Linked DNA regions of Danio rerio. The protein of the gene in region 3 purifies or fractionates together with the protein of the main gene of each other region. This does not show direct contact. Links are inferred from orthologs where the notes say so. Each region holds a gene or a part of one and is shown on either strand. Other genes may lie near its edges.

Region 1 (3,477 bases), on a different chromosome or scaffold from region 3:
CCTTAGGTCCTAATTGCGCCTTTGCATCTATCACACAAAGGAGAGATAAAAGTATACAACTTATTAATTTTGGCTTTAGTATAGTGTAATCTATGCATCACTTTAAATTGGATGAGCTGTAGTCTTACATTTATAGAGCAAGAGTGAATACGGCTCAATCCCTCCTCCAAAGTAGAGGATGGGATTTCAATTTGTTATTCTCTCTCTTTAAGGTGTGCAGTAGAAACCGAAATATAAACTTGGTCACCAAATGTAAATGTATTTTTAACATTTCTATTTAACATATTAATGGTTAATGTATTTAAATGTTCGGTATTTATTTATTTAGTTATTAGTTATTTTATATTTACTAAAATTAAAAATGTTGGCGACCATTAAATGTCTATATTCCATACAAAATATGAAGCTGATTGGTCAGGTCTTATCACATGACTCGCTGTGTGCTCGTAGCATTTTGAAGATATGTGCGCCTCCATTGGAAATAACGAACTTGGATGCAGGAAAGAAACGCCATGTATGAACAGCCACCTTCATTTGCCATCTCCAGCAGTTGATCTTCTTGCACAGACATGCTGGATTTACCTAATTTGTTGACAAATGGGTTATGGATCTATTCCTTGGTAGTTCATGGGTTCTTCACTTGGCCTTTTCCCCTTCACAAAGAAACTTTCCAAAGACATCTGTTTCTTACTCCTTTTGCTAGCTTGTGAGTTAAATTTGGGGAGCTCGAGTGACCAAGATGTAACCGAGAATACAGTCATTTTTTTAAATAAATGATCCTTCTGACTCGGATAATAAATAAAACAGAAATATTTAATGGTTTCTTGTGCAGGCCGGTACATATTGATCCAAAGAGCCGTACCGGTTCGCAGCCCAGGGGTTGAGGCACACTTGTAATGCATTAAAACTTTCAAAAGTAACTTTCACCAACACTGAAAAAAATTATTTTAATCTATTCTATTTTAATTATTTATTTATTAATTAATTAATTTATTTTATTTTATTAAAATATAAAAATATTTTATTATTTTATATTTTATTTTAGTGTTTAATAATGCAAACGCAAAACAAAACTACTTTATGCTTTACTTTATAGCCATATTTATGTAAAAAAAAACTTTTATCTAAAAATATTTTTTAAATAAATGTAAAGAAAGTTACAAAGAACTGATTTTCCTAATTATAATATATTATTATTTGAACATTTTGAAAATTGCACATTTTTAAGTTCTAAAATCCCCACATAACATTTTTTTTTTTTTTTTAATTTATTATTTACTTATTCTCACGTTGTACCAAACAGCAAAACAATCATTAACATCCATAGTATGAACAAAAATACCATACAAGTCAATGGCTGTTTTTTCTCACAACATTCTTCAGTACAGTTTCCCTTGTATTGAACAGAAGAAAGAAACTCAAACAGGCTTGAAACAAGTAGAGGATGAGTAAATAAATAAATGTTCATTTTTGAGTGAACTGTCCCTTTAAGTGTATATACATTTTATCTTTGTAAAGCCGCCTGCTAAGAAACTTGGAGATGGACGAAAAGTGACCTTTTTTGAGCCGGGATCTATGGAGAAAGCTGGTCTTGGTATGTGTTTTGCTGTCATTTTTCATACACGTTTTAGTGAAGATTTCCTGCTTGTGACCAACTCTTATCTTCCTTATAGTGGTCAGTAAGGAGGAGGATTTCCGCCTTCCCTTCCTCAGCCATCAGCAGCTTCCGGCTGGCATTTTACCCATGGTGCCTGAGGTAGCACAGGCGGTGGGTGCCAACCAGGGTCCCCATGCCAAAGACTACGGTCGCACAGCTGCCCCAAACCCAGCCAACGCTACAGTGACGGCCATGATTGCCAATGAGCTGCTGTACGCTGGCACTTCCCCGACCGCTGAGGGAATACTGAAGACCAACAACAGCCTGGCACACAGACCCCAAGGGCCCCTGACCAGACCATCTGAACAGCTCAGCTACCTGGCCAATGTACAGGGCTTACAGGTACTGAATATGTCTGCAAATACACTTTATCAACCCAACATGTTTTGATTTATTGATTTGTTTTGGCACAGGTTGAATATAAAGACTTTCCCAAAAATAACAAGAACGAGTTTGTGTCTTTGATCAACTGCTCCTCTCAGCCTCCTCTCATCAGCCACGGCATCGGCAAGGACGTGGAGTCCTGCCATGACATGGTGAGCATCATGTTAAGCTTTATACAGTCGATGATTAAATGATTAACCCTCCTGTGAACATTTTCATCATTATTCAAAATTTTCCCAAGAGATGTTTTACAGAACCAAGGACATTTCAACAGTATTTTTTTTTCCTCTGGAGAAAGTCACATTTCTTTTAATTTGACTGGAACATCAGCAGTTAAAAAATATAGATATAATTTTTATATTAAATATTATGGCGACGCAGTGGCGCAGTAGGTAGTGTCGCCTTACAGCAAGAAAGGTCACTGGTTCGAGCCTTGTCTGGGTCAGTTTGTGTTTCTGTGTGGAGTTTGCATGTTCTCCCTGTGTTTGCGTGGTTCTTCCGGGTGCTCTGGTTTCCCCCACAGTCTAAAGACATGCAGTGCAGGTGAAGTGGGTAGGATAAATTGTCCATAGTGTATAAGTGTGAATGAGTGTGCATGGATGTTTCCCAGAGATAGGTTGGAGCTGGAAGGGCATCCTTGCGTAAAACATATGCTGGAATAGTTTTCGGTTCATTTAGCTGTGGCAACTCCAGATTAATAAAGGGACTAAGCCGAAAAGAAAATAAATGAATGAATGATTATTAAATATTATCAGCCCCATTTTTTCGGTTGGCTACAAAACAAACCAGTCGTCTAATGACTTGTCTATTTAACCTAATTAACCTAGTTAAGCCTTTAAATGGCACTTTAAGCTGAATACAAGTAGCTTGAAAAACTAATGGTCAAATATTATGAACTGAAAAAGACGTTCCTTAATTCATTCATTTTCCTTCGGCGTAGTCCAAATAAAACTAAGGGGTAAACTAATTAATCAGGGGTCGCCACAGCAGAATGAACCACCAGCTATTCCAGCATATGTTTTACACAGTGGATGGCCTTTCAGCCGCAGCCAAGTACTGGGAAACACCCATACACACTCTTGCATTCACACACCAATTTAGTTTATTCAATTCACCTACAGCATATGTCGTTGGACTGTGGGGAAAACTGGGACAACTATAGAATAGAATATAGAATACAACTATTCATAATTCTGATGTTGAAATATTATGTTTGAGATTTGTGCTTGTCATTGACAACATTGAGACCATTTTTTTTCACTGGTAAAATGAGACATTTGTCATTTTCAGATTGCCTCTTGCATTATATTCAACAGGCTAGAGTAGTTAATCTGACACTGGTACACATTTATTATCATGCACAACACTGTGTTCGCTATGAAAGAAAAATCATATCCAATGCTTGTCGTAATCATAACTTTAAAATGTGATATGAT
Region 2 (3,757 bases), on a different chromosome or scaffold from region 3:
GTTATATTGTATTCCCTTGTACGTGTACAAACAGATATTTTCTTAGCTTTAGACCATCATCCCATGTTTCCTCATCAATATCAATAACCAACTCTTCCTCCCATTTGGTTTTAATTCAAAATACAGTATTTAGATCTAATAATTTAATAGAAAATTGAGGTGAATAACTGCAAAAAGGTCCACTTTTTGAAAAAAAAGAACCATCCCTTTCACCAGGCTACTGGCCTGTATTCCCAGTATAACCCAACCCAGTTCAACAATAAACTTGAAGCTGTGAGATTTCATGATCCAACATCCACAACAATAAAGTATTGCTGAAAAATAAATTAGTGGACCTGTCACGGGGCTTGATTACACATTTCATGTCAATTCTTTGATTTTACGGATTTTTACATACAAAATCAATCAGTTGTGCCTAATGCATCAAATTATTCAGAGTGAGACCAGTGTTTTAGATTTGATACATTTCATGATTGTTTTTCATGCGGTTGCACGGTGTGTTATGAAAGCATCTGCTCAAAATAGAAATTGCATCTCGCGTTTGACACACATTATATTTATTTATCAGTATTCCTAAATAACGAGCTTTTTATAAAGTCTGGTCGTTTCATGAAACGTACATTTCGGAGTTTTTTGTGAATCAGGAGTGGGTCTGTCGTCAAAAACCAACCAGAGCCACCCAAATATAGCAACTACACAACTGGCGCTAATAGGACAAACCCGGCGAACCAGGAGCCGCGAGCACCGAGTCCGCATCGACCAGCCCCCGACAGCTCCACCAATCAGATCTTCCAGCTGTTAGTAAGTGGCAGTGTGGTAGACCAATCAAAGCCTCAAACTCTGCGCTGGGCGGGGCGTATAGTGGAGAGGGGTGGGGATTTCGGGGTCATTCACAGTCTTGCTGCTCCACTCTGACGGCGTGTGTTGGAGGGGAAGGGTGAAGTAGCACAGCATCACAGTCTTATCAAAGAACAGACGTCCTAATCAACAGCGTTTTCAGATATAACATAGAGGATTTTTACGAGAATCATCCCGACATATGCAGGAGCCGCGAGATCAAGTGCCAGAAGGTGTCGGTGCCCGTTGATTAGCGGCTGCGCTAGCTGTTGTGCTAACACCTCGTTTACATCCACCGTCATCAGACAGCATCAGTCCAGCTTCAGACCGGCCACTAACGGCACTCCCGCGAGCTTCCCTCGCGCTGTAGGCAGCCGTTTTCGAGTTGGCTTGCCTTGCTGTAAGGGGTGTCGGAGCTGAACCCCCTCCCTGTGGCTCCTGTGTTCCCCCGTCACCTTTGCCCCCTCTCTCACCCGAAACACTGGACACACAGAAGCGGCCGGAGAACGGCGAGAGGCCCGTGAAGCTGGGGGTGGTACCGGACTCGCACGCTATCGTAGCGCCTAAAGAGAGGCACAGCCGTGGGGAAGCGACGACGAACATGGACGGGTTGGCGGTGGAGGTGCGCGGCTCCAACGGGGCCTTCTACAAGGTAACTTCATTTAAAATGAACCCATTTTAAACCATAAAGCTCCAGTGTACGCATCAGCGAGCGGGTCGGGACAGCCGAGATGTGATGCAGTCATGTGTATCACTTTCAAAGAGGCCCGAGACCTAATGATCATCGGCCTGGTTGTGTGTGTACAGTGTTGTTTTCTCATTTCTCAGCTATAAACAGGGGAATCACCGAGTCATTTTAGCAGGTTAGCTAACAAGACAAGAAGCCAGTGGCTATATCTCAAAATCAACCGAGGTGCCCTACATAGAAAGCATTTTTGGGAGATTTTATGAGAGGATGAGCAGGTTACTTGGTTTTGAGAGACATGATGGGACATTTCATCAGTGCTTGAAGGGGAAGTTAAGGCCAAAAATGATATTTCTGCCATCATGTATCATCCTCATCTTGTTCACAACCCTTTCTTTATTCTTTGTTCCACAAAAAGGAAAGGCAGTCAAAGTGTGGACCGACAGTGTTTTAATTATTTCCAGGCAGTCTAAGCAAATGTTGTCTGATGTTGTCATTCTTCCTAAATGATGATCACTTTTTATTTTTGGTTTTAACTGTTTAAGATAGATACTCTGTGGCTGGACTAGCTTATTAAAGTGTCAGGTTGGGTCGTTTAATTTTCATATTGGTTGTGAATTCACAGTGATATTCTCTTTGTTTGGTCAGTTTGAGTTCAAGTTAAACAGTGGGAAACCACTTATCTTGCTTTCGTGAAGAACATGCTGTATTACATTTAAAAAAGGTCTCTATATCAATGACTAGAGTATGGATGGTCATGTTATGTCATAGGTTGTGATTTAAGGATAGTACTGTGATTGTGTCGGCTGTTTCAAGCTGTAGAAGTCTGAGGGGCCAAAGCAGGTGGAAGAGGAACAGGTGATCTCTTTGCTGACACCCAACACTCTACAACCCCCTACCAAAACTGACCAACTCTCTTCTTTTCTGGTCTCATCATTTGCTGTCTTTACGTTTTTTTAGGTCTTTTTTAGTCCTAGTAGCACCTATTTTATTTGAATACTCTTTCTTCTTTTCAGGTTTTTAAATGTAGCATTTAATTGTTGCAGGCTTTTCCTTAAATTTGAGTTTACATTGACTATTTACCACTTAATAAAAATAGTTTGGTCTGAGATTTGAAATGTCCTTAATACAGTGGTTCTCAAACTTTTTTCATCAAGTACCACCCTCAGAAAAAAATTCTTTCTCCAAGTACCACCAAAATAAGCAATATTGAAATACAGTAGCGTAGTATGCCCAGTAAAGCAGCTACAACTCTGCACAGTTTAAAAAAAACATGGCATATTACCTCAGAAATAAAGGCTATATGTCATATATGGCATATTATACACATAATTTTTTATAAATGTTGAAATATATGTAGCATGTACATGATATATGTCATTCCTCCGTGTACCACTAGAAGGAAGCCCGCGTACCACTAGTGGTACACGTACCACAGTTTGAGAACCACTGCCTTAATAGATACAACATTGGTTCTAAAGTCTTGGGTCTTGTAACCAAACTATGAGTTGGAGCAAGTATACAGCAAGTATACAGTGTATACATAGTGTAAAGTCTGCCCCAATATTGATGTTTTTTTCCATAAGTCAGAACTTGTAAAATAATTTTTAGTCATGCAGTTTATTTCAATTCAAGCTTCTTCAAGGTTCCCTCAAATGCTATGAATGAAGATGCACATGGAGACCTCCACGTGGCCGGGGGTCTTCGTCATACACTACTTATCTGCCACTCATCCTCTTGGGTCCTGCATGCCTGTAGTGTTACATATCCAGAAATACCACCCTAACGTAAGGCCACCCTAACGCCTCTCCTGCACAGAACTGGCCAGCAGACACTAATATGTAAATTCACAATCTAGTATGTTGGAACAGTTTCAACATGGGACAGTTTATATTAAAAGCCTGCCCAGCTGCTTTTAGTCTGTTTTGCTGACTTGTAAATTAGCAGGCGTTAAATCTTCATTTTTAAAAGCTTGTAAAGGGAGCTCCATTTTTGGACATGTAGATTTACAGCTCTTTTTACGCTGGTTTAGTGTCTTGTCCTATTGACGTGCATAAATTAATACCGTAGGATCATCTTTTATAGTTGGTTCATTATTTGGCAAGCGTGATAATGCAGGTTAATGCATTAAGGGGTTGTATGTATATGCACATGGCTCTAAATAGGCCTGCATACAGTATGTGCTTGTGCCAGTTTTCCGGAAACTAGCCTGCCTCTTCCAAGCAGGTTACATAC
Region 3 (3,757 bases):
TAAGTAAAATCAACTTTACCTCAATTCTAACTACAATCAGAATTATAAGCACCCCTGTTTATTTTCCCTAATTTCTGTTTAACTGATAGCAGATTTTTTTTCAACATATTTCTAAACATCATAGTTTTAATAACTCATTTCTAATAACTGATTTATTTTATCTTTGTCATGATAACAGTACATAATTTTTGACTAGATACTTTTCAAGACGCTTCTATACAGCTTAAAGTGACATTTAAAGGCTTAACTAGGTTATTTAGGTTAACTAGGCAGGTTAGGGTAATTAGGTAAGTTATTGTATAATGATGGTTTGTTCTGTAGACAGTCGAAAAATGTTTAGCTTAAAGGGGCTAATAATTTTGACCTCAAAATCTTTTTTAAAAAAATTAAAAACTGCTTTTATTCTAGCCGAAATAAAACAAATAAGACTTTCTCCAGAAGAAAAAATATTATCAGACATACTGTGAAAATTCACTACTGACCTACTGTATTGTCGTTAAATAGAGAAAACATTTACAATTAACTTTTATTCTAAATCTTAAACCTTATTTTTGATATAATAAACCTATAAAAAGGCTTGAAGCACCGCGAAAGGCCCATATTAAAATTAATTTGAAAGCTAAATTGGCTATTTTTGTTATCCATGAATTTTCAAATAAAATCTAAAATTATGAAGCTCTATATTATTATTATTCTGTTTTAATTTTTTATTATTCAAGTGGCCAAATTTTGAATGAGGAAAGTTAAAGCTCCACTTTTGAGAAAAAGAACCACCCCATTTCATCATGCTGACTATGGGCTTGACATATATATATATATATATGTCATAAATATATATATATATATATATACATAAATATATATATATATATATATATTTAAGACATTAATGTGATAGTTGACCCAAAAATAAAAAAATCTGTCTCTTCCATCTTTTACTACTCGATGACTCTTTACTTGCTTGTTCAAACCTTTCGGTAAATAACATTAGGTCATTACTGAGGCTGAAAAAATTGTTATGTTGCTATATATGAATATTGCTATATTATGTCTATATAACTGTAGAAATAACTTTCAATAATAATTTTAATTAAATCAAAAGCCCTGTCATTAATTATCTAATTACATAAATGAGTACAACACAGTACAAAATGTCTTGTCTTGCTTTAGATGAAGACTTGTTGACATTTTCTTAATCATCTACTCTTTCTTTTCTTTACTCTTTGGCGCTTTCTCAAATGACTTACATTGGCAGTTGAATGTTTGTAGTGTACAGTTTCTAATGTGCACGGAAATCACCAAGTAACTCATAGTTTCGCAAACAAAAATGCGCACAGTAACAACACGGTCAGCATCGGCAGCTGCGCAATGGCTCACCACATAGTTCACGTACGTGCGGGACAGACAAACTTGCTATGATCATTTCTTTCACCCACGTTTTCAGTTGGGTAATTTTAGGGGGTTTACGGCAGAACGAATTATGATAGGATGGGGGGTTCCAATGCGGTGTTCTGATTGGCTGCTGGGTTCTGCGATCATGTGGGCCGTTGAGTTTAGTAGGCGCTGCTGTGAAACCGGCAATTCGCCACACGCGCTGCTGCCAGTGTCTCAGCTAAAAGCTTCACAGCTACCGGCGCAGGAGGTGCTTCACCTAAATCACGTCAAACTCTTCCCAAAAACACATTACTGATTCCCTTTCGGTAAGTTCACTTTAGCTTTTTAAGTTAAATATGTTCTACAGTTTATTTTTCACTACATCTTTTTTGTTCTTGTGCGTTGCGTACTGCTTTCTGTTAGCTCCTGCGCAGCTAATAGCCATGTGCTTAAAGTATGTGATTAATCTAATATAGAGGTATAGTTCCGGTAGTTTTTGTATAAAAAATATTTCATATTATGAATGCTATGATTATTTCAGACGATTAAAAGGTCAAATCCGCCTTAGGTCGCTGGCTGGGTCTTTTTGTTAGTCGACGCTGTGAGGATTAGCTTTAGCTGCATTTGCTTGACCACCAGCCGACATTTCCGACAAAGAGGGAGCACACGTTCACGGTGTCGTTAGGGTGTGTTACGCTTCTTCTGATGTTTAAGATCAGTTTAACAAAATTTCTGCGTATTGTGTTGTCATTCGATATATATTACGATCGTGTAACATTAATTGAAGTCAGCGCGGTAACGTTACTGGGCACGTGCCTGATTCATGAATGGCGAATGAAGAATTCTAGGACGTGGATTAAATTGTGACCTTGATCAAGTAGTTTTCGTTAACCTTTCGAAAACGAAAGAAATATTGATTATCTCTTAGGTACGGGGCTCAAGATGGCAACGCGTCGCTGTTGTCCAGGCCTACTTGGCTCAACCTTACAATGAATTCATCAGATTGAAACAGTTTTCCAATAGGAATAATTTCCCACCCTTCACTAGGAGTTAAAACATCTAATTGAACTGCTGTTCTTTTAGGGCGCGACGGAAATGTATAGACGCTGTTGTTAAACGTCCTCATTGCGTCTAACGTTACGTCTTCATGAGCTTAACAAAGGGATTTGTTTCGGTTTCAACAAGCGGCCTGTCCCGATTTCCTTCATCAAATATCGTTTATAGCGGTTGATATTCAAATGAGTTCCGTCAGGAATGGGAGTTGCCTCTATCAGGATTTTCAAATCCAGATAACGTTAGCTTTCCTCTGAAGGACGCATAAGGAGATGTCGCAGGGCAGTTCCTTTTGTGGTCCTCAAGAAGCAACCATGTGTCTTTGGAACCACATAAGGGTGAAGAAACAGTGGAGGTGCTTTTTTTATAATAAGTCATTTTTGTTTTAGTTGAAACCAGTTGACCAAAGAAATGGTGATGGAGAAGCCAAGTGCCCAGCTTGTCGGGCGAGAGTTTGTCCGACAGTATTACACCCTGCTGAACCAGGCTCCTGACTACCTGCACAGGTGACTTGCCCTTTGTTAACGTATAACATTCCTTTTTTTGGTAGTTTATATTGCAGTAAAGCTAAACTTTGCTGTTGTCTTAAGGTTTTATGGCAAGAACTCCTCATATGTACATGGTGGACTGGACAACAATGGAAAACCAGCAGAAGCAGTATATGGACAGTCTGTGAGTATTATATTACAGTTGTTGTGAATTAAGTTGCCCCTTTTAGACTATTATAACCGAACCTAACATTGTTTTAGAGGTTTTCTGGAATAAGTTTTGTGCGTCTTGGGTAAAAAAAACCCCCACATTTTTGCTTTTTTTAAGATACATTTCACATTACTTCTAAAAGATTTTTCAAATAATTAATTTGAAGACAGTCTTTAAAAACCTTTATTTCCATAAGCTATTTTGTGCCAGTCTATAAACAACAGAGAGTTCAGTTTAAGCATTTACAAGCTTGCATGAGAGAGGATTTAATCATCTACGCCTGAATAAGCCCAACTTCCCTTTACAAACCAATAAGACCACCTTTTAACCATTTTTTTAGCAAATGCTGTGCAGTGCTGCAGTGACTTCCTCATCCTGAGTGAAGCATGATTGTGGGTGTACCCTTGGTCTTGAATGTGCATGCTCTACCATGTAAAGTGGTCATCATGGAGTTCCTCTTTGACACCAGGGAGAAAAAAAATCCAAATCAAGTTTCAATCAAGAGCAAATTTTAATAAAAAATAATCCATATGTGCACAAAAATATTTCCATTTTGTGAATTAAATCAGAATCTAACTCTTACATGGTTTAGATGAATCTGCAGGAATTGAAACTATTAATCCAACAACCA

The links.
Region 1: the proteins of g3bp1 (region 3) and stau1 purify together in Homo sapiens (affinity purification with mass spectrometry; 3 studies listed by BioGRID and IntAct, with this or other methods). This does not show direct contact. The link is inferred for Danio rerio from reciprocal best matches to the Homo sapiens genes G3BP1 and STAU1.
Region 2: the proteins of g3bp1 (region 3) and fxr2 purify together in Homo sapiens (affinity purification with mass spectrometry; 3 studies listed by BioGRID and IntAct, with this or other methods). This does not show direct contact. The link is inferred for Danio rerio from reciprocal best matches to the Homo sapiens genes G3BP1 and FXR2.

Annotation. Positions count from the first base shown.
Region 1 is NC_133181.1:48,977,215-48,980,691, forward strand, and holds part of stau1 (double-stranded RNA-binding protein Staufen homolog 1), read left to right. Parts: intron 1-1,518; coding exon 1,519-1,594; intron 1,595-1,673; coding exon 1,674-1,999; intron 2,000-2,070; coding exon 2,071-2,193; intron 2,194-3,477. UniProt on the Homo sapiens protein: Binds double-stranded RNA (regardless of the sequence) and tubulin.
Region 2 is NC_133182.1:22,701,870-22,705,626, forward strand, and holds the start of fxr2 (fragile X mental retardation syndrome-related protein 2), read left to right. Parts: upstream 1-1,375; 5' UTR 1,376-1,438; coding exon 1,439-1,489; exon of another isoform or gene 1,490-2,653; intron 2,654-2,983; exon of another isoform or gene 2,984-3,757. UniProt on the Homo sapiens protein: mRNA-binding protein that acts as a regulator of mRNAs translation and/or stability, and which is required for adult hippocampal neurogenesis. Specifically binds to AU-rich elements (AREs) in the 3'-UTR of target mRNAs.
Region 3 is NC_133189.1:30,207,416-30,211,172, reverse strand, and holds the start of g3bp1 (ras GTPase-activating protein-binding protein 1), read left to right. Parts: upstream 1-1,584; 5' UTR 1,585-1,700; intron 1,701-2,816; 5' UTR 2,817-2,838; coding exon 2,839-2,933; intron 2,934-3,017; coding exon 3,018-3,099; intron 3,100-3,757. UniProt on the Homo sapiens protein: Protein involved in various processes, such as stress granule formation and innate immunity. Plays an essential role in stress granule formation.